Caenorhabditis elegans: one gene and its partners. The protein of the gene in region 2 purifies or fractionates together with the protein of the main gene of each other region. This does not show direct contact. Each region holds a gene or a part of one and is shown on either strand. Other genes may lie near its edges.

What was found.
Region 1: the proteins of atx-2 (region 2) and dhs-28 purify together in Caenorhabditis elegans (affinity purification with mass spectrometry, with the first as the bait; one large-scale study listed by BioGRID). This does not show direct contact.
Region 3: the proteins of atx-2 (region 2) and ule-3 purify together in Caenorhabditis elegans (affinity purification with mass spectrometry, with the first as the bait; one large-scale study listed by BioGRID). This does not show direct contact.
Region 4: the proteins of atx-2 (region 2) and acdh-1 purify together in Caenorhabditis elegans (affinity purification with mass spectrometry, with the first as the bait; one large-scale study listed by BioGRID). This does not show direct contact.

Annotation. Positions count from the first base shown.
Region 1 is NC_003284.9:6,816,205-6,820,861, reverse strand, and holds dhs-28 (Ketoreductase domain-containing protein), read right to left. Parts: upstream 2,425-4,657; 5' UTR 2,418-2,424; coding exon 2,144-2,417; intron 2,095-2,143; coding exon 2,026-2,094; intron 1,979-2,025; coding exon 1,707-1,978; intron 1,665-1,706; coding exon 1,199-1,664; intron 1,153-1,198; coding exon 1,019-1,152; intron 969-1,018; coding exon 873-968; 3' UTR 782-872; downstream 1-781. Other genes in the region: gei-15 (GEX Interacting protein), read left to right, coding at 1-117, 290-375, 425-539, 586-661; atg-2 (Autophagy-related protein 2), read right to left, coding at 4,165-4,407, 4,503-4,657.
Region 2 is NC_003281.10:10,459,345-10,467,606, forward strand, and holds atx-2 (Sm domain-containing protein), read left to right. Parts: upstream 1-2,044; coding exon 2,045-2,380; intron 2,381-2,428; coding exon 2,429-2,720; intron 2,721-2,843; coding exon 2,844-3,105; intron 3,106-3,424; coding exon 3,425-3,598; intron 3,599-3,652; coding exon 3,653-3,888; intron 3,889-5,111; coding exon 5,112-5,471; intron 5,472-5,524; coding exon 5,525-5,746; intron 5,747-5,981; coding exon 5,982-6,391; intron 6,392-6,528; coding exon 6,529-6,843; intron 6,844-6,950; coding exon 6,951-7,242; intron 7,243-7,697; coding exon 7,698-7,910; intron 7,911-7,959; coding exon of another isoform or gene 7,960-7,967; coding exon 7,968-8,068; downstream 8,069-8,262. Other genes in the region: ecps-1 (Proteasome component Ecm29 N-terminal domain-containing protein), read right to left, coding at 62-289, 426-569, 616-740, 795-905, 964-1,085, 1,134-1,206.
Region 3 is NC_003283.11:10,791,785-10,795,665, forward strand, and holds ule-3 (Uterine Lumin Expressed/locailized), read left to right. Parts: upstream 1-2,013; 5' UTR 2,014-2,023; coding exon 2,024-2,201; intron 2,202-2,245; coding exon 2,246-2,398; intron 2,399-2,454; coding exon 2,455-3,077; 3' UTR 3,078-3,140; downstream 3,141-3,881. Other genes in the region: D1054.10 (DUF1525 domain-containing protein), read right to left, coding at 325-469, 561-819, 864-1,026.
Region 4 is NC_003279.8:6,495,369-6,500,480, forward strand, and holds acdh-1 (Short/branched chain specific acyl-CoA dehydrogenase, mitochondrial), read left to right. Parts: upstream 1-2,067; 5' UTR 2,068-2,084; coding exon 2,085-2,259; intron 2,260-2,305; coding exon 2,306-2,406; intron 2,407-2,713; coding exon 2,714-3,157; intron 3,158-3,206; coding exon 3,207-3,303; intron 3,304-3,348; coding exon 3,349-3,494; coding exon of another isoform or gene 3,495-3,540; coding exon 3,541-3,678; intron 3,679-3,913; coding exon 3,914-4,096; 3' UTR 4,097-4,192; downstream 4,193-5,112. Other genes in the region: uri-1 (Unconventional prefoldin RPB5 interactor), read left to right, coding at 1-121, 179-526; C55B7.3 (Protein-tyrosine phosphatase), read left to right, coding at 4,662-4,674, 4,724-4,830, 4,924-5,112.

The DNA of each region.
Region 1 (4,657 bases), on a different chromosome or scaffold from region 2:
TCATCAATTTGCAACAATGACTCCAGTGGCGACTATTGACGACAGTGTCAATAACACACCAGCCACCCATATCACCCAAAAACAAAGTTACTACAAGAGAACCGAGGAGACCACTGAGTAAGTTTTTTAAACCTTATTCATAGTGCTTAATTAAAATTTTTGTTGAACCCTACGTCCATAATGTCAATTATGTCTGGTGTCTGATGGACTAATCGCAAATTAACTGTGAAAATAGTTTTAGGAATACATTTAAAAATAATAATTTTAAAAAATCAATCTTTTTTTTCAGAGAACAATTCGCGCCACATGCACCATACAAAGCAAATCATCCCGTCGCTTCTCCCAACAAATTTGTCCGCCAACTTCGAGACGATAGTAAGCGCTGTCTCCAAATACACTTCAAAAAAAATTATCAATATTTCAGACCTAACCCATAGCCAACGCGAAGCCAACACCCACACTGAGCCAGTATACCAAAGAGATCCAAATTACAATCAACGATTCCAGGAGATTAGAACCAAATCTACATCCTATTCCAGGTAATTAAAATGCTATAATATTTCTACAGTAAAGAAAAAATTACAGAGGAGGAGATGATATTGACCAACTTACTCAACAACTTGTCAGTGGTATGCACTCCGGAAAATCACGATACAACTGAACCCATATTTCTTTTTGCTAATTTTTTTTCATCGTTGTAATTACGACTATAAATTGCCATACTCTTATGTTTCACCCAACCGCCACCCCCATCACCAGCTTCAATATTTGGTGTCTCTGATGTCATTGAAATGTTTTATTAAATGTACTCAATATCAATAATTAATCATTCTGACTCAATATAATTTACAAAATTGAACGCTTCTGTCTGTTTACAATTTTGACTTCTTCGCCTTTTCAAGAACGGTTTGAAGTTTCTGAAGAAGCATTACGTTTCCCTTCACTTTCAGTTTTCCGCTCATGAATGCCTGTAAATAATGGTTTGTGGAAGATTAGTACTATCAGTGCCAGCGTATACCTTTTGAGCATTCAATTTTCCGGCTGCAATGTCAACAAAATCGCTATCAGCAACAGTGACCGTCGCGTTAGCTTTTTCTCCGTTCTTTACATCACCCAAGTACACGGATGGAGATGCACTTTTGAAGTCAAGAGCTGAAATAATACTAGTTTTAATATAATTGACGCATCAAAAACTAACTGAATTTTCCAAGCTCGTTCTTTCCGTCAGTGATGATGTAAAGGACAATCGATTTCAAAGTTTTTACTGCAGTTGGGTCAGCCTTCACACCATCAGCCATTTCCTGGAACAGTGCACTACTCCTGATGTTTGAGGGGAAAGCACCACCAGAAGAAGCACCAGAAGAAGCACTGCTACTTCCAGATGAAGCTTCGTGCTCTTCCAGGATTGAGACAAGTCTAGCACTCTGCTCAGTGATGGTTCCGATGTACTCGGCTCCGTTCATGTTGGTGATGGTTGACCAGTTCTTGGCAATGTCATCAGCTGATGCGTGTGAAATAACCTTTCCTTTAGATTTGTAATATTGAATAGTTCCGTACCATCCAGCTCCAGCTTCAAAAACTTTTCCGGACTCTTCGAAAGAATCATGCACCATGTATGTCACGAGTGGGGTGACATAGTCTGGTTTCAAAGCATCAACGAGATTCTGTAAAGATTTCCGTTATAAAAAAATCATTCTTCAAAATACCTGTGGCATGACAGTCTCGGTAAGTCTAGATCCGGCTGTTGGGACCAGGGTATTTGCCAAAATGTTGTACTTTGCACCTTCTTGGGCGAGAGAGTTTGACAGACCAATGAGAGCACTTTTGGCAGCAGCGTAGTTGGCTTGTCCAAAGTTTCCGTGAACTCCGGCATTGGAAGAGGTGACCACAATACGCCCGTACTTCTGATCTCTCATGTATGGCCAAGCGGCTTTGGTGACAGCATAGGCTCCCTTAACGTGGACCTTGAAGATAAGATCTGAAAATTGAGCAGATTTATTTTATTTTTTGAAAGCTATTACAAACCCCAATCAAGCTCGGTCATCTTGAGGAAAGAAACGTCACGAAGGATACCAGCGTTGTTGATAACAATATCTGGAACCAATTTCAAATCCATCAGTATTCTATTATCAAAAAACTGTACCAATTCTTCCAAAATTGTCGATGGCGGTTTTTACGATTTTGTCTCCAAACTCAACGCTGTCATAATTGGCAACTGCTTGTCCTCCAGCTGATTTGATTTCTTGAACAACCTTGTCAGCCATTGATGAAGAGGATGAAGTTCCATGTCTATCTCCTCCAAGATCGTTTACAACAACTTTGCATCCTCTCTTGGCAAGTTCAAGAGCATATGTCTTGCCAAGACCACCTCCAGCTCCAGTGACAATAGCAACTTTTCCGTCAAAACGAAGAGACATTTTGTTTCTAAAATGAAAAAAAATAATTTGGCAACGACTATACAAAACTCAATAAAAGAGTTTTAAAAAACACAAAATGTAGGAAGAGAGAAGAAAAGGTAATCAACTGATAGAGAGGAATGGTCATTGATTATATACATGACTACGCTGTGGTCTTCTCATGTCTTCTATTACTGGCAAAGTGTGGGCAAGAAAACGCGCGTTGCGTATGATAACGGTACACTCGAGTCGATTCAATTGATTGTGTTCGAATAAGTGACTACAAACAATTGAACCATTGCAAAAAAAACTGATCGAGTACCATAGATAACATGAAGCAATAACTGTCGCAGTTAGGTATAAATATTTTTTAAAAAAACCTAGAAAAACTTTACGACAATCTATAAACTATTTACAGACAATAACTGTGATTCTGTAATGTTCACTGGTAAATATTTTAGAAATATATGAAACAAGATTTTTTTCAAAAAAAGTTTAAAATGATAAAAATGATCTTACAGCGTAGAAACAAAACTTGAATTTAAAAAACCTCAAAACCAGTCAGCTTTAGATTTGAAATTATGGAACACACATTAAAAGTAAATTCAAGCATGGTGAGATTTTTAAAATGAAGTTTTACTATGTTTTTAAAACAATTTTGCGATATCAGTTTTTGATTTCTTATCCTTAATCTTTTGAAAATGAAACTAAAAAATGAAACAACTTTAGTTGAAATCCAAGAAAGTCTAATAACTTAAAACCATCTTCGTTGACTTTAACCATTAAATGTGGACTGTGGAGAAATTATTATATACCAAAGATGAAATGATTTTTTTTAAATCATAACAAAACTTTTCAAAAAAATTGGGAAAATGTATTATTTCGAATCAAATAGCAGTGAAAACCCAGCCTTCACAATTGTTTTTTGACAATCGTCGATAAATAAATTCATTACAGTTTTACAAATTAATTATTTTTAAAATATTCATATTTCAACATTTTAGGGGGTTGAACAAGCGACAATGTTTCAGATTTCTCCCAATAAAAACAAGCATAGTTTTTATCGCTTTTTGACTCGACATAAAAAGTCGACAATCGAAAACTTTTCGAAATCCTAAAAAACACGTCATCAAAACTTTCTAACTGAAATCTTATTATTGAGGAGTAGCACATTCTTAATAAACTGACGTATTCGGAACTGCATTTTTTTTTCTGTTTTTAATGTTAATGTGAATAATTCAAAAAAAAATTCCAAGATGACATTCATTTAAATTTTCTGACTTTTCAAAGTGAATAAGCCATTAACAATTGACATAGAGTGCAGCGAGAGCATAAGGGATATCCAGTGTAATAGATGCAGTAAGGCGAATGTAGGGTACAAGTAAAAAAGCCAAATCTGACAATTAAAGAAACATAGCAATTAGGAGGGGGAACAAATGAAAAAAAAAAGAAGACACTCACACAATCTCAAAACCAGTTTCTAGAAAAGTTATGAAAGATGAAAGATGAACAATGAGGCGAATTACCGTGTAATATGTTTCGAATCAAATGAGAATGGGTTCAAGCACGACACTGAAAAAAAGAAGCGGTTAAGTAAGGCAGTTGGGAAAATACAAATGTACAAAAAAAGAAAAGAAAAAATAACCAAAAATGGAGGAAAAAAGAAAAAAAATGAAATGCTGAATATATTTTAAAAAAATCTAACAAAAGTGTACAATTAAACACATTAAGAAGATGTACAATTATCAAAAATTGGGAGGAAATCCGATTACTTATTCACACCTCCGGGTACATCTTTTTCACCCCATTTTCGACGTTCGTCTTGATAAGTATCAGGACGTAGTTGGTTGCGAAGTCCTCCCAGTAGTTGGTACGTGACTTGAGTAGCCATAACAATAGGTCCCAGGAACGTTGGAACAGCGTAACGGAACGCACTTCTGACGACGGAATTTCCTGAAGCCCGGTCTTCCTGAGCAGCGAGTTCCAGATCATCTCTCGTCTGATGATACCCCTGCAAAACATTTATGATGGTAATTGGAATTTTTGAAAAAACAAGTACCCAAATAATCTACCATACAAATAATACAAACTGAAGAGAAAACTTACATCATAAAGAATTCCGTAAGCGAGTTGCAGACTATGGCGGACATCTGTCGGGTTCATACCGTGATTTCTGTTGTATCGTCTCGCAACTCTCCTTGTTGACGGGTCGTCTGGTTTTATTTCCTTCATCGTCATCTCGGCGAGACTTTGCACAAATC
Region 2 (8,262 bases):
CAGTGAGGGTAAATGTGCGTGTGCCTTTAAATTTATGCCGATTTACGTGATGAATCCTTACTCGTTCAATTTCGAAGCGGAAGCCACGACCATCAGCGGAAAAGCAATGTCATCGGTGAGCAACTCCTTTCCCAACACCTTCAGAATCATCACCTTCGTCTCCGTCAAATTCAGCCCCAGCGGGAAGACTTTCCGCCCAATTTGAACAAATTCGTTGATGCTCAGCGCTGGGAGCTCAGGAGCCGACGATGCTGTGGGAAGCTTCTCGACGAGCACTTTGATGTCCTCACTGAAATAAAATATTAGAGTTAAAGCAGGCAAAGTTCGTGAAGATTTCGGCATGAAATATTGTAAAATTAACAAAATGCTAGGCATGTTTCAGATTAAAACCAGGAAATTCGCTTCTGAAAACTGAAATTACGTACATGCTTCGTGCAGAGAACACGAGAATCGCCTGAAAGCATCTGGCAATGATTTCCACGTCGACAGAGCTCATCTCGATCGTCGGCCAGTGTTTTTTCTCGATTCTCGCGAGCTCGTGGAGTCCCGGCAGGCACAACGAGAGAATGCTGGAAAAAATTATATAGAAAATATAAATAGTTCTACTTTACTTACTCGTAAATGTAATTGAGATCATTGGGCTTCTTGCTGAACGATGTCAAGTATACAGGCAGAAACTCTAGCTGCTCGGCGGCCTGGATCCGGTCTTTTGCCATTTTGAGATAGATCAGACTGAAATTCTGGAAAAAATATTAATTTTTTGGGTTATACATCGTCTGGAGAACGCTACAAACCGATGAAATGGCACTCGGGCCTTGGAAAAGTTCGAGCAGACGTGGCACTGGGAGACGGATCGCCAAATTGCTCTTGACGACTTTGTTGAAGTGTGTGAGAAATTCGGTGACCTGGAATCACGAATTTTAGTCATTTTGAATCAAATTTCAGCGAATTTTTGCGTCTTACCAGCTGAATGTGCTCCTGCTTTCTCCCGGCAAACTCCAACACATCGCACAAGTGCCGATCTGTGATAGTTTGTAGCTTGGCGTCCGAGTTGGCGTTGACGAGCCGCAGGAAGACTCTTTCCACTGAAAATTTCAAGTTCATTATGTAAATTAGAAGCTAGACTAGCTTACCATCATTTGCTGAGTCGAGAGACGTCAGCGAAGCTGATTCTCTGGGAGCATCGACTTCCATTGGGCTTTCCATGCTGAAAATACTAAATATTTAGCGTTTTACGAAGAAATTAACGTCGAAAAATGAAGAAATTACACTGAAATTGCTAAAAATTGTTCAAAACAATACGAGAAACTCGGTTTTTCCGCAAAAAGTAAAATGTTCTTGAATTTATTCCAAAATGTCATCAAAAATATTTTTATTTTCAGTCTGCGTCTCTCTTCATCGTGTCAATGGGGCGAACTTGACAAGAGACGTCACAGAACCTTTCTCTACAGAAATTTGAGTCTTGAAAAAAAGACCGAAAAACAGGGGAAATTTTTAAATATTTTTGATGAGCGATAAATTTTAAATTGAGAATTAGTTTTGTTTATTTCAAATTGTATTATCGACAAAGTGTATTGGAAGATAGCGCAGGGAAAGAATTTCTCCGAGTGGGAGTTTCCCCAAAATCTGTGGTGTCAAACAGATAAATATTTCCCAATCGCGAAATTTTGCACGAGAAATGTGGTACCCGGCAAGATAATTTTTTGTCAAATGAAAAAAGTGTGTGCTCCTATGAAGAAATGTCCTATCTTTCTTTTAAGAACAAAATCTGAATTTTGTCAGACCTAATTCAATAAATTGCGGATAAACTTTTTGATTTGGGGAAAATGCTTTTATTCATTGCCCAAAAACTCAACTGTTGAGGCGAAATGTTCATGTTTTACCACTTTCCTTGGAAAAAATCCACTAATTCCCACTATATCGACTTTCCTGAAAACCCCACTGTGTAAAATGCGCGCGGCACACTTGCGAAACCCTGTGCGGCGCACTTGCATAGGGCGGAGTCTCAGGCAATCCCGACGGAAATCGGCGCGTCATTTACCGCATGTGCGTGTCCTCCGCTGTCTGCGTGCTCTCTCGTCTCTCTCTCGAACGTTTTTCAAATTTTTCCGCGAATTTTGTGGATAATTTTCTTCTTGTGGCTCGTTTTGCACGTGGTGAAACCTTGAAAAACGGGATTGTGTTGGAAATTTCAAAAATTTGCCCAAAACTGTTACTCATATTAAACTTCCATTATCGTTGCGAAATTGCTGTTTTTAAAATTCAAATTTTTTCCATTTTCAGGTACATTTCTCCTGTACCCAAACTCTTTGACTGCTCCACAGACAATCTTCTATTTATTTATATTTTATTTGCATCCAAAGTGCGAATGAAAGAAATGGTAAGCGCTGGCAACTTGAAAATTTCTTTAAAAATACAATTTTTCCAGTCAACACCAACGGGTCTTCCTGCGCTAAATGGCGATGTGTTGAGCGCCATCAATGATATGATCGGACGTGTAATTATCATTAATACTACGGACAAAAAGCGATATTCTGGGGTGCTGGGCGCCGTGTCTCAGGATTTCGATTTCGGGATGCAGTGCGTCGTGGAAATTACGAAGGAGAACGAGAATAACTTGCTGAGAACAGAGTCGGAATGCAGAGACAAGATGGTATTTCACTATAGTGATATTGTCGATTTTGCGTACGTTACGCAAGAGATCAAGAAGCAGCATGCTGGTAAGAGCTGTTTCAGGGAACTTTTTCATTAAAAAAAATGCATGACATCTTTAATTTTGGGCCAAGTCGGGTTCACAGTTACGATTTTTAATCCGAAAAAGCTGAAAAACTCTCCATTTTCAGTCAGCAAATTCGTCACCGATAGACAATACCACGGAGATACTCCAATCGAGGGCGAAGAGCTTCAGGAATGGAACGGAGGTGAGGAGGACGGACTCGGAGGATCCATTGAGGACGACGTCGTCGTTGCTGGTGGACAAACCGCCGCTCGTCGCAGCAACAATCACAACAACGGCACCGGATGGTCGGTCAACGACATGTTCGCCGCCAACGAGAAGATGAACGTGGTGTCGACGTTCAAAGAGGATTTAACGCAATACACAACGTAATTTATTTGAATTTTTTCGCTTGAAAAATCCAGGATTTTCGGAGTCTGCAAGCGTTTTTGGGCATCTGAATCTATTTTTTTCAGTTTTGCCTTGAAAAAATCTTGTCACTGAACCATTTTTGCAAAATTTTGCATAAAAATGTCCTGAAAGTTGATAATTGACAATTTTCAGGTTATTTTTAAGCATTTTTTCGAATATTTCTACCGAAATCAGTGTTATTCTCTGATGGATCAAGTGCTTTCCTATATTTTGACCCGATTTTTTAATTTTAATTTTGGAAAACATCGTGCAAAGCAATAAAATCCCAAATTTCAGCGTCGAAGTGGTAGGAACCGACGAAGATCGAGCACGCGCCGAGCGGCTCGCTAGAGAAATTGAGTCCAACTCGTCGTCGAAGTTTATGGCGAACTTGGAGAACGACGACGACGAGCGAGATTTGGACAAAATCACGCGTCAAGAGGATTTCGAGAATGGCAATGGCCGAAAGCGGTTGGAATTCTTTAAAAATTTGAATTTATTAATTTAAAAATTTATTTGTTTCAGCAATAATAACAGCTTCAACCAGCAACAACAACAGCGCCGCAATCCGAATATTGCACCAAACGGGCAGCCAGTGAATCGACGTGCCGAGGGTCTTCGCGGAGATCGTCGTAATAGTGGAAGCTCTTCAGCGAACAATAGTCGCTACGGTGCTCCAGCAGCGGCTCAGCAGAACTATTCACAGAATCAGCAGCAGCAGCAAGGTCAAAAAGGTTATCGCCGCCAGAACGAGGAAAATGGTTCGTGTACATTCCCGAGAGTACAGTGTGTCTCTTTGATCATTATCTCTCTCTCGTTCTCTTTCTCCGCGTCCAACAGTTCTTTTTTCGGTGTATTCCGTTTTCTTGACCCATTTCGCATGACATAATTTCGCTAGCGGCTGCAGCGGTTGTCTTCAGCTGATTAATTGGAGTGTTTTTCCTCGTGGGATGCGGAAAAAAGCGATTTTTTTTTTGCAAATTTTCAGCAAAAAAATCAGATTTTTCCCATCAGAAAACCAATTTTTCATTCTTTCCTCACATTTTGATCACAGAAATACGAAATAATTCTGCAATAGTGTTATTTTCAGTGGAAAAATCGTTTTTTTTTCCGATTTTTGACTGAAAAACGTTTTCTTTGTGTCAGAAAAAACAAGTAAATGCCGATTTTTAAGTGAAAACGCCGAAAAAAAAAATTGAAAAAATGACCGAACGGGTCCCAGTTTATCCATACAAACACACCTGCGTCTCTGATACATGCTTTCATCAAGTCTCTCTCTCTACCTCTGTCTACCTCTCTCTCTCTGTCCGCTTCCTCACCGCTTATCATCTTCATCATCATCATCACAAGTTGGTTGTGTTCTTCTCGAAAAACCGTGTTGTCTATGTTGTGTACCAATCGATCGTTAGGGAGGCGCCACACTTTCTCTCTCTCTCTCATTCCTTTCCGCTCTCTTTTTTCTCGGTGATTTTTTGTTGTTGTGTGTGTGTCTGAATGATGATGAAACATGCGATCGTTCATACCTTTTTTGCCTCCTTTGCAGCTTCACCAGTCCTCAGATCCTTCTAGATAATGGAAATTCCACAGTTTTCGAAGTTTTTAGTGTCTTTTAAAAGAAATCTTGATTTAAATTCCTCTTGAAAATCTGTCAGAATCAGATCAAGAGCATTTTGGTATAGCGTTAAAATACTGTAACCGGTCTCGACACGACATATTTGTGTTTAATGGTATGCACCTTTAAAGAGTACTGTATTTTCAAACTCTTTTTGCTGCGAAATTTCTGTTTTTTCATAGTTTCATATGAATATTCCACAGCAACAAGAGTTTGAAATATTTTTTCAAGGCGCCCACCCTTTTGCATTAAACAAGCTTGTCGTGCCGAGACCGGGTAACGTATTTTTGGTAAAAATTCGATTTTTGATTCCTTAGAAAACAATTTCCGTCGTTTTTGTTTAAACAATGACTCATTCTACTTAATTTTCAGACTGGCAGATGGCCAAGGGGAAGGGCCAGAACCAGGGCCACGACCACTCGTTCCGTCAACAGCAGAAGCAGATGCTGGATCCGAGACCCAACAACAATGTGAAGCCGGCTGACGATAAAGCTCAATCTGCCACCACTGCCACTGCTGCTGCCGGTGGATCCCGTGTGACAGATCTCAAGAACTGGGGCAACGAGTTTTCGATTGCGACGGCTCCAAAGGATCAGGCTCCGGCGGTGCCAGCTGGAAACTCGGGTAGTGCCTGGAATCGCGGACCACCGAGCTCGCTGGTTGCCAAGGGATCATCAAATGAGTCGACTCCACCACCGACAACCAATGGAGAGGAGGCTGAGACTAAAAAAGGTATCTATTTTCTATTTTTCTCAACAAAAATGAACAATTTTGCCAATTTCCAGAAGAAGCTCCATCCACAAGCGTCGATGTGGCAGCTGCACCAGTGCAAAACGTACAGAACGACGCGGAAAAGCATCAGGAAGACGACAATGTTTCCGTTACTTCAGAGAATGATTCAGTGATCACTTCGAAGTCATCGTCGTTCAAATTCAACATCAATGCTCCAGAGTTCAAGCCACGTGTGGCTCCGGCGACTCCAACAGCGACGACTCCAGTGCAAAATGGTAGGAAAACGAACAAAACGGCTTTTTTTCAGTATTTTTGTATCAAAAATTAATACAGAAATGTATGTAGAAAAAAGATAATTTTTGTTGAAAGGTTTGAGAAAGATCTCAAATTGTGTCATTTGAGAGGGAATTTTTAAACCAAAATAAATATTTTTCTAAATACACATAGGTATCAATTTTTGATACAAAAATTTTGGCTGCCAAGACGGAGTTTTAACTCTAAAATTTTCAGAATATCATCCACAACAACAGCCACATCCAGCAATGATGGCTCCACAACAAGGACCACCTGCTCCTGGAATGGGAATGGTTCCACCACACATGGGCGGCCCACAAAATCAAGGTCAACCACCGATGATGATGTGGCAACAGACTGGACAACAGCAACAAGGCGGTGGCGGCTATCCACAGAATCATCAATTCCCAATTCAACATGTCCCAATGCAAGGTGTTCCTGGACAGATGTATGGCCCGGGAGCTGCGACTCCGGTCACTGTTGCTCAGCAGCCAAATCAGCAGCATCAGGTGCCAACCAGTGCGGCTGGTGGTCAGAATCATCAGTTGAGAGATGGAGAGTATCGTGAGAAGCAGCCACTCTACATGCCATATGGACCGCCACAAATGGTTCCAGTCACATCTCAGGTAACCGAAAATTTGGAATATCCCTGTAGAAATAGGGAAAACATTTATTTTTAAAGGCCTTGAATTTTTAGAATTTTAAACTTTTCCTAATCTAAAATTCCTGATTTCTCAATTCCAAAAATTCTAAATTTTTTCAGCAATTCTATCATTCACAGTACCAAGGCCAGATGCAGCAAGCTGCTCCATACCAAATGAAGATGATGCCACAGCAAGCTCCACAGGGTGCCTATCAACAGAGATATCAGCAGCCACAAGTGTACATGATGCCTCCACAGGGTCAGCAGCAGCAGCCGAGATACCAGGGTCCTCCACCACCACAGCAACAGCAACAGCAACAACCGCAGCAACAACAATTCTCCGGAGAGCAAAGTCGCCCACAATCACATCCGAATAGTCAGCCAACGACTCCGGGACCACGTGGCGAGTTGCCAAAGATGAGCGGTGCTCCACAGGTGAGATTTCTTTTTTTTTAAACTTATTCGCATGTTTCCCTCTTTCAAACTTTCTGTGCCTAATAAGATGAAGCTTTTCAATATTGTGACCGTGACTCTATTTTCAGAACGGAAACATGCAGGCCGAGTCGAGCAGCAACGCTAGTCACAGCGGATCGACGAGCTCTCAGTCGGGACAACGAAGCGGATCTCCACCAGGTGCTGTTCCTCCACCACCACCACCACAGCAGCAGCATCAGCAACAACAACATCCACCACATCATGCTCCTCCACACGTCGGAGCACCACCACCACAGATGATGCAGCAGCAGCAGCAACACATTCAACAGTATATGGTGATGCAGGGACCGCATCAAATGCATCCGCAGATCCCTAATTACTATCAGCAGCCTCAGGCATGTTTAATCTCTCTCTTTCTTTCCTTTTTTCAGTGGTATTTTTGATTTTTGGTTTTCTTGTTTTTTTTCCTTTCTTTCAGAAGTTTCAGAACAAAATTGTGATTGACTCTGCTAAATTTTTGTAGATCTGCAAGTTCTACAGCTGAAATCGCCCAGTGAAAAAGGAGAAAAAATTGCCTAATGTTTTTTTTCATACTTTTTTTCTTAAAAATAGCGAGAAAGTTTCGATTCCGACTGTAGAACTTGAATGTGCCCAAATCAACGAAAAATTGGCAAATTTTAGCTGAGATCTCCTATTTCGGCAATTTTTCTGGATAGATTTTTTTTTTGAATTGAATTTTGAGATTTTATTTAAAATTACCATTTTTTGAGAAATATTTGAAAATGTCTCACACTCTATAAAAGAACAAAACCGAGAAAAAAACGTAAATCTAATTTTCAATCATTTTCAGCAAGTATTCTATCCGATGATAATGCCCCAACAGATGCCAATGCAACAGAACCAACATCCTCAACAAAGTCTTATGGGCGAGCGATCTGATCAAGGATTCCCGACGTCGGGATACTTTGACTACCGTACAATGCCAAACTATCAGCAACAACAACAACAGCAACAGCAACAAATGCACCGCCAGAATTCGCTTCCACAGCAGTTCCAAGGCAATCAAGGTAATGTTTTAAATGTTTATAAAGTTCAAATTTCTAACCGTTTATGAAGCTTTGAAGGTGTAAATCCATCTGGTCAACAATCTGGTCCACCACCACCGCCACCACCGTCTCAACAAGGCACACCACGTGATCAGCAGCACTCTCAGAGCCCCCCGTAATCATATCTATATGCGCTCTTCCTGCGCTTTTCAGTGCTTTATATAATGTTTCCCCAATATATATTCATTTTAATATTCTTATTTTCTTCCTTCTCTTCCTTCTTTTCATCAAAAATCCGCTTCTCCCCCCTTCCCCCATGCCACCATCTACAACAACCACAAAAATCTCGTGGAATTCCGAAATTCCGTCATAA
Region 3 (3,881 bases), on a different chromosome or scaffold from region 2:
GTGACGAGCCTTTCCGAAATGTGTTATGAGCATCATTTCTATGTCCCATCTGTCTGTCAAAAACTGTTTGTTGGTGGCGCGGAATCTTATTTTTGATCAAGAAATGTTTTGGTCACCTTATTGTATCAGTTCAAAAGAAAAAACCTTTGAGCTGTGGATGTCTGAAAACCTTTTGTTTTTCTCGAGAAAATACTATTACAGAAATGTATTAAATTCAAAAACTGAAAAAAAAACTCAGAAAGTACCATGAACAACTGCATATAAAACCTTCCATAAACTGTATTCATCTTTTATAAAGAAGCCTTATAAGAAATGTCAATTATTTTAAAGATGGAGTCCGGCTGCCTGCAGAGGGCCAACAATTCCATTAACTATAGCTACCGCAGCTGTGTCGTTTTGAGCAACAGTAATACAAGCGAGTGCTTCGATGCGGGCCATGCTTCCAGTAACCAAGTTGACAGCTTCATACCTGAAAATAACGAGTTGAAATAAGTTATTAATTGAAAGTGTTGTAAATAGATGTTCTGAAATAATTTTATAAAACTCAAAAAATCACACACCGATCATGACGTCTGTTGCATTTAAAAGTCAATCCAGATTTGCTGCTTGCTGAGAGAACTGCATAGTCTCTAGTTTGAGTAAAGTCTGGTGAAGCTCCTCTTGATTTTCCGACAAGAATTTGAATCTGTGGATTTTCGCACACAGCAATTGCGTATTCTTTTCCATTACGATTGAAATAAGCAATCTTTGGAGCAGATAACAACGGGTTAGTTAATGGATTTGGCGAATTGAAAACACCAAGACGACGACATTCCCATTCTGGAAATATAAATGGTTGAAATTTAGATATCGTAAGTACTTACTCTCATCACTGTCTCTGCTGTTGCTACGAGAGTGATGACTGCGATGATGTCGATCATGTAAAACGTGGAAGTTATTATGATTATTGTAGGTGATGTCGCCGCCGTATCCGCTGCATGCAATCACTCCAAAAAGAGCGGAGATAGCTAGAAGATTCAGATGCATTTTCGGAATCGAATATGATAAAAGAAATATGGTGACACCTTTTATATAGCGTTTCTAGGCTCATGATACATTGAGAAATGTTTTGAGAATGAACCTAGTTTGTTTATATTAAAACATAGATACAAAATCTTGTCTCAAAAGAAAATTGATGACATCACAACAAAGAGAAAAAAGATGATTCATGAAATATAGTTAACTTCTGGAATAATGTGTGGAAAGTGAGAAGCGGGTGTCGACAAAATCAGAAAGTACAGAGCTTTAAAAAAATTTAAGGAATTAGGTATAATGATAAATTAGAGATGAAAATGGTACATTTGCATTAGTTAGTTACTTAGAAACTGGAATTTTATTAAAATAGTTTTTGTTTTTTATTGTTTCTCATGAATTAATTTTGTGGCTTCTAGGTGTTTATAAAAAATAATTGTCCTCAATAGGAGAAATAATTAAAAGTTTAGTTCAGATGCTGAAACCTATGAACCCATTAACACCACAAATTTCGTCATTACATCTTCAAAAAGGCTGAATTTGAATGATGCATGCGAATGGCTACGCGGGATATAAAGTTTGAAATAATTTTCAAGCAAAGTTTCTTCATTTTCTCTGCATTTGTTTTTCAATTTATCCTCTTATGCCACTGTATGTACCATTAACTACGTCTTCCTTCCCATCTTTATCCATCTACAATGTTTCTATATATTATGTTTCAGTTATTAGATTCTGGTCTCCGATTTTGTAAAATGCTCTAACAGACTAATGTTTGAAAAATTAAGTCTTAGCCAATCGCAGTGTGTATAAACTCTGAAAACTATCAGACATACAGTTTGATATTATTCATTTTATTTTCATTCGGATATCCGTCTGAATAGAATTGAAACTTTTGGAAAAAACAAAATTCGTTCACAAAACATCCATCTTTGTGACGTGATGTTTTATGTTTTCCCTCTGATTTCTTTCTATAAAAACCTTTACAACTCCACAAAGAACATCATTCACCAAGATGTTAGTTGTTCTTGCTATCTCTTTGGCAGTTACCGCAGTTTGTGCTCAATACGGATCAGGACCAGCCAATAATCCACCGGCTTCTTCCTATTCATCAAATGTTTACTATCCACCTCCGGTTTATGGATCAGTGTACTGGGATTACGATAGTGGAAGTCGTGAACATCGTCATAAACGTAAACCGTAGTCCATTAATAAATAAACATCTTACCAATTTCAGAGTGCCCACGTTTGAGAGCATATGTGGGTGAGTTCCCTGGTATCCCTGAGGAAGCATTCTATCCACCAATCATTCGATATGTCAAATACAACAGAAAAGTGACTGCTCTTGTTGTCTGTGATAGAGATGAAAAGAATTTGAACTTCCTTTTCGGTTAGTTATCTCGAACTATTCAAAGTAGATTAGTGATTGTATTTAACTATATCCAGCTCGTCACAACAAAACTCGTGATGTCCGTTCTGCCAGTGTTGTCGCTATTGGAAGCACCGCCGGTGTCACTCTCGTTTGTAATCGCGATGACAGAAGATATGAGGGATTTGTTATTGATATGAATGCAACTACAAACGGATTCTCTAAGAAAATCGAAATCACGCAACTCACTTGTCTTGGACTCGACAAAACTATTATTGGTCTTCCTGTGGAACACGGAGTACAACAACTGGCGCAAAAGATTCAGGAAATTTTGGAAGATGACTTCTTCGTTCCAGTTATTCCGTCGAGAAGGAAGAGACAAGCTGGTGGAGCAACTGCTAACAGCGCTGAATCCACGACTGAAGCAGCTGACACCGAATCCACAACTGAAGCCGCTGCCACCGAAACTCCTGCCGCCGAATCTACCACAACTGAAGCTTCCGCTACTGACGCTGCCGCCACCGAAGCTTCCGCTACCGATGCCGCCGCCACCGAAGGTGCTGTCACCAAAGCTGCTGCCGGAGTTACAGAAGAATCAGCTACGGAAGTGATCACTGTAGCAACAACACCAGCTTCACCAGATGCGGCGCTTAATAATGCTATTAACGAATTGGGAAAAATTCTCGGTCAAGTTTTCTAAATGCATTTCGATTTTAATTGTTTAATATGTCAATTGATTATTGAATAAAAGTCAATGAAAGCTAAAGTTATTTATACAATTTTCAGAGAATGTAAGAAAATTATAATATGACCACTAGAATCATTTAATATTCGGACCTAACTTCGTACCTAATTTTCGCCCGAAGGAAAAAATCTTGGTTAGGTAAAATATAATAGACCTTATATGTACTTGCGATCGCAGCAATAGCTTTTCCATTTTCACCAAAAGTTTTCTTGAAGATTATCAGCTTTTTAATGGTCGCCACCGGGGAAATGTTAAAAATGCCTCTTATAGTGCGAAACTGCCTAAAAGAGATAGAACAATAGTCTACATTTTTTTTGAATTCCCATTTTGCCACAAAGTTGCCTGAAAATTTTAAGTTAGCAAAACGATATTGAATAATTTTTAGGTAAAATCTACATATACTGAGAATTATGAACTTTTAACCGTTTCATTTTTGGACAAAATATGGTCGCGTTTAAAATTGAAAAATTAAAAATTAATATTCACAGCTATTATTATTTTAGATTTATTTGTAAATAATATGCAACGTTCTCATAAAATATTAAATCAATACGACTATATATTTTGCAGTCATTGATCACCTTTTAAAAGTTATCTTCAAAATGTTTCATGAAAATGTGATTGTTGTCTTCTTGTAGCCAAATGTTAAATTCACAGCTGTTTTTTTGAAGGAGGTCAACTCAGCCGACGAGCCATCGTCTTCTCTCCATTTTTGTCCTTCTAGGTAAACACGAGGCAAACCACAGTGGAGAACATAAG
Region 4 (5,112 bases), on a different chromosome or scaffold from region 2:
AGAACTCGACTCTGATGATTATGCATCTGATGATAATATCGAGAAAAGCAATAATTCTGACCAACAACTGAAATCCAAAAAGATAGAGACCCAAGTGATTAAGGTCGAAGAAATTGTTGAGGTAATTTCAAATACTAAATAGAAACAATTCACTATTATTTTAACACACAATTTTTAGGAAACCGTAACAAAAACCACCGTCAAACGGAAAAAATCGGGAGTTCGATTTGCGCAACAGCTTGAAAATGTGAAAACATTCCATCAAACAGACACTGTCGAAATCAAGGAAGAAGATTCAGTTATTGAAACCAAATCAATTCTCCGGAGCACTGAACCAACACCCGTTGATCGTTCAGCTCTCGAACCCGAGCAAAAGGAACTTGCTGCGATGAGCACAATGACATTTCCAGGAGAAATTGTTGAGAAGAATCCGTACGAGTGTGAGCCGTCGACAAGCAGAGACCCCGCTCCCGTCATCACCGAGAAAAAAGTTTCCAAATTCAGAGCTTCCAGGCATAGAAATTGATCTTTACTTTCTAATTTCTATATAATTTTCATATCGTTCAGCTATATATCATTTTATGCTCACTGTTAAACACTTTTGCCACATTGGTCAACATTTCCCCCGTAGAATCTCTTTTTCTGTGTTTGAAAACTAACATTTAATAGTTGGCAGCAATTATCACGTTCCCATTGTCATTAAAGTTCTAGTATATTTCAAAAATAAAATTAAACAGTTTCAAACATTGCTTTAATTTCAAAACTAAAGATGGATTTCTTTCCTGAACAGTTGGTCTGATCACATTAGGCTGAAGAGACTAAACCATATTCGCAATGGGAGTATAATGTGCGCATATTGTGTTATCTTCCTTCGCTCCATGGCGAATCAACTGTGAACCAACTCTACAACAGACTCGGACACAAATCGATAGTTATATAAAATTTCGCTGTTTGAACGTTGCCATGGGGGCAATTTTGGATTTCTCACAACTGATCTAACGGGAAGGAATCAAATAAACTGAAATTAACAGTAAAATTTTAAATCAAAATATCTCGGAGCTCTAGGGTGAATAGAAGCTGGAATTTTAGAGGAATTCACTAGAACCTTCTACTATCAGATGGTACTATTGTCTTTTGGAAGTAAAGAGTCAGGTGAAAGAACTTTCCTTGTAAATGACTATTCGTCCAAAATCATATTACCGATTTCAGCATAGCTACAGTAATCCTACAGTACCTGCATTTCATACATTAAAGGCAACATTTTGAACTTTAAAACCTATATGAAACATTTATCAGAACAAAGAGAATATGATCAGAGTTCACAATAAGATCTGAGACATAAAACATGTTTCTGATAAGAATTATTTTGCAGATAGTTGCCGGGATGCAAGATAATAGAAAAAGTGAAAACAATTGTCTGAAATTTAAATGTATTGAAAAACAAACAATCTTGAACAATTGGGGAAGTAAGGCTGATTTTAAAAGTCAAATAATTAAAGTATTTTGAAAATCGAAAGCTAACTTGTCAAGTCACCTCAAACCAAGGGAACGCTATTTTTTCCAATGATATTTTAGAACAATAGTTGATAAAAACTTTTGAATTTTAAGAAAATTTTCTGAAAAAAAAGGTTCTTTAAATTTATTGAACTAGTTAACTAGCTAGTTCAGTTTACTTTAAAAATCAGAATTCATGAATTCCATCAGAGCTAAAAACCAGCAGTAGACTTTTCTAGCGGATAATTTAAACAACGACTTCAGATCAAGAATCGAAGTCTTTAATTTTTATGGAGAAATTTTTAATTCAATTGAAACCTGCCGAACCGAAAGATCTTTTTTGTCATCTTTATGAAAACACATTCAGTTTCCGAATTAAATATCCTTCAGCAATATTCCAGCCCTAAACGTTCAAATGACAAATAAAGATTTAGTTGTCCACATATTGAATCAAGAAATAAACATTTTCAGGCCCAAGGGGTCTGTGACCACAACGTGATCTATGATGTATAAGTGGGTGTGGCTACTACTACAGTACTACTCCTTATAAAAACCTTCCATCTACCACACTAATTACTTTCACCTTCACAATGTCCACTTCTACTACTAAAATTCTAAAACAAGCAATGAACATCATATCTACCATCAGAAGCTCGTACAGTACTGCAACCGCAGTTTCTATTTCTCGACATTGTGAAGATTTCACAGGAACCCCTCCACCGGTAAACTTGCTAACTGAAAATGAACTCTTCTTTGCGGATACTGGTTTGTTTTAAATTTATTTAAAGAAGTTAAAGTTTTACACTTTCAGTTCGTAAGTTTTCCAAAGATGTTGTAAAGCCATTAGTCAGGGAAATGGATAAATACTCAAAAATGAGCCCGATTGTGACGCAAGGTGTATTTGAAAATGGGGTAAGTTAATTCTTATTACTTAAATTTTAATGTTATGGAAAAGGGGTTTATATTTACACTGTTTATTATGAAAACCTAAAAAAAGTATAATAAGAAGGAAGATTGATAAATACTTTATAACTTTGTAAGGTAACGTTTCAGTAAAATCAATTTCATGGAAATATCCAAAAACTTTTGCATTAAACACTTAACTTATTTAACTAATTATGCTATAAAAATGAGAAAGTTTTAGATTGACTTTTCTAGTTCAAAACGATTGTAAGCAGATTTATTTATAGACCTGTTAAGAAACGAAAAAATCTTCCAGCTAATGGGTGTTCATGTTCCTGAAGAATACGGAGGCTCTGGATCCTCTTTTTTCAATGCAATGATTGTCATTGAAGAGTTGGCAAAAACTGATCCATCTGTATCTGCAATGGTTGGAATTCACAACACCCTCCCTGTATCAATGATTATAGATTATGGAACAGAAGAACAAAAACTAAAATACTTGCCTCGTCTCTGTTCTGATAGTCTTGCATCCTTCTGTATCTCAGAATCAGGTGCTGGATCCGATGCATTTGCATTGAAAACTATTGCAAAACGAGATGGAGATCACTTTTTGATCTCTGGAACTAAAATGTGGATTACTAATTCAGGAGAGGCACAGGTTTTTGTGGTATTTGCAAATGCAGATCCTAGCCAAAAATACAAAGGTATCACATGTTTTATTGTGGAAAGATCAGCGGATGGTCTTACTGTAGATAAGGAGGTATGTTCAGTTTTTAACTTTAGAGCAAAAATGAAAAAAAAATTTACAGGAAGACAAACTTGGAATCCGAGCTTCATCCACTTGTCAAGTTCATTTTGACAATGTTCGTGTCCACAAATCAGCAATTCTGGGAGAGTATGGAAAAGGTATGAGATTCTAGTAAAATCAATCAATAACTTGCATGTTTCCAGGCTACAAATACGCAATTGAATGCCTAAATGCAGGTAGAATTGCCATTGGAGCACAAATGATTGGACTGGCTCAGGGTTGTTTCGATCAAACAATTCCATATCTTCAACAGAGAGAACAGTTCGGTCAGAGACTTATTGATTTTCAGGTTATTTTTGAAATTGGGTTTGAATTTTTGATACACAAATGTTCAGGGTTTACAACATCAGATTGCACAAGCTAGAACTGAAATTGAGGCCGCACGTCTACTAGTGTATAATGCTGCCCGTATGAAAGAATATGGAATACCATATGTACGAGAAGCTGCAATGGCGAAACTGTTTGCATCACAGGTAATTTGATAAATTGTAGAAACACCACAGGCACAGAGCTCGTGCTCTGATCTAATTGTACATGTTCTAGAGTTATAAATGATTATCATAAAATAGAAGCTCATCATCGGAGCTTTATATAATGAGCGATATTATTTTTTTTCAAATATTTCATATCAAAAAGTATGTCTTAGAATCTGAACCGTTGTGAAATGAATATTCTGAAAAAAATTCAATTGAATTCAAATGTTTCAAGGTTGCAACATCAACATCAGCTCAATGTGTAAAATGGCTCGGTGGTGTTGGATTCACAAAAGAATTTCCAGCCGAAAAGTTCTATAGAGATGCAATGATTGGAGAGATTTATGAAGGAACTTCCAATATTCAATTGAACACAATTGCCAAATTAATTGATAATGAGTATAAATGGAAAAATTAATTGATTCGCCTTCCGTTGTATGCTTTTTGTAAATTTGAAAACGTATTGATAAATCTAAAAGTTGAACAATTTTGAATAAAACACAAGATTTTTACAGAAACCTGATGTAGGTGCACTCGTATCAACTTACTTAATTCAATCTCCTACCGTACATCCCACCCTCACAGTTATATTTCTTATCACATATCGATGGAGACTTGATGTGACTCTGAGACTGCTCCAATAGTATTCTGTACTGCTATCGTCCAAACAAATCTCAAAAGTATCTGAATGTATCACTCGGTTCTCAACAAGTGTTTGCAATTGGTGTATACACTGGTGATAAATCAGGAAACGCAACTGAATACTTGGAGCAGTTATTTTTGAAAGGTACTTTAAAAGTTTTGACCTTCACAATTTTATCTCGTGAAGAGCGTGAAACCCTAAATACATGAGTTTTTGAAACGTATTTCACGTAGTCTTACCCCCTCTCTATAAAAGCAGTAGATTCATTAGTTTTTCAAATTATTACCGACTTTGGTAAAGTATTGGTCGCAGTTCTTAACAACTTCCGAAGCAATTTAGCATGTCGAAGATGAGTAAGTTACTATGAAAGTTCGAGTATGCCAATCATGTAAATTGTTTCAGAACGGCGTACAAATAAGCCTCGCGCTACAGAGAGTGCAAACAGCAGCACCAAATCGTCTGTGCTCGATGAGCCAACACTGGTTGAGCGGAAACAACAAAAGAAACAGGTAAACTATTTTGATTTTTGAAAATATAAGGAGCCTCGCAGTACATCACAAAAACTATCATACTATCTCCCATTAAATATAAATCTGTTGCAGATCTTGAAGTTCGTTCAACGTACACTGGAAAAGATGCCGCAAGGGCTTCGCGCCGAGTTCGTTGGGATGAGACGCTTCAACGATTTTGAGAAAATGAAAGCGTTCAAAGAAGCTCAAGAAGCTGGAAAGAACCGCTACAAAGACGTTGGATGCCTTGACAACAATCGTGTCAAACTGGAGGGACCATGG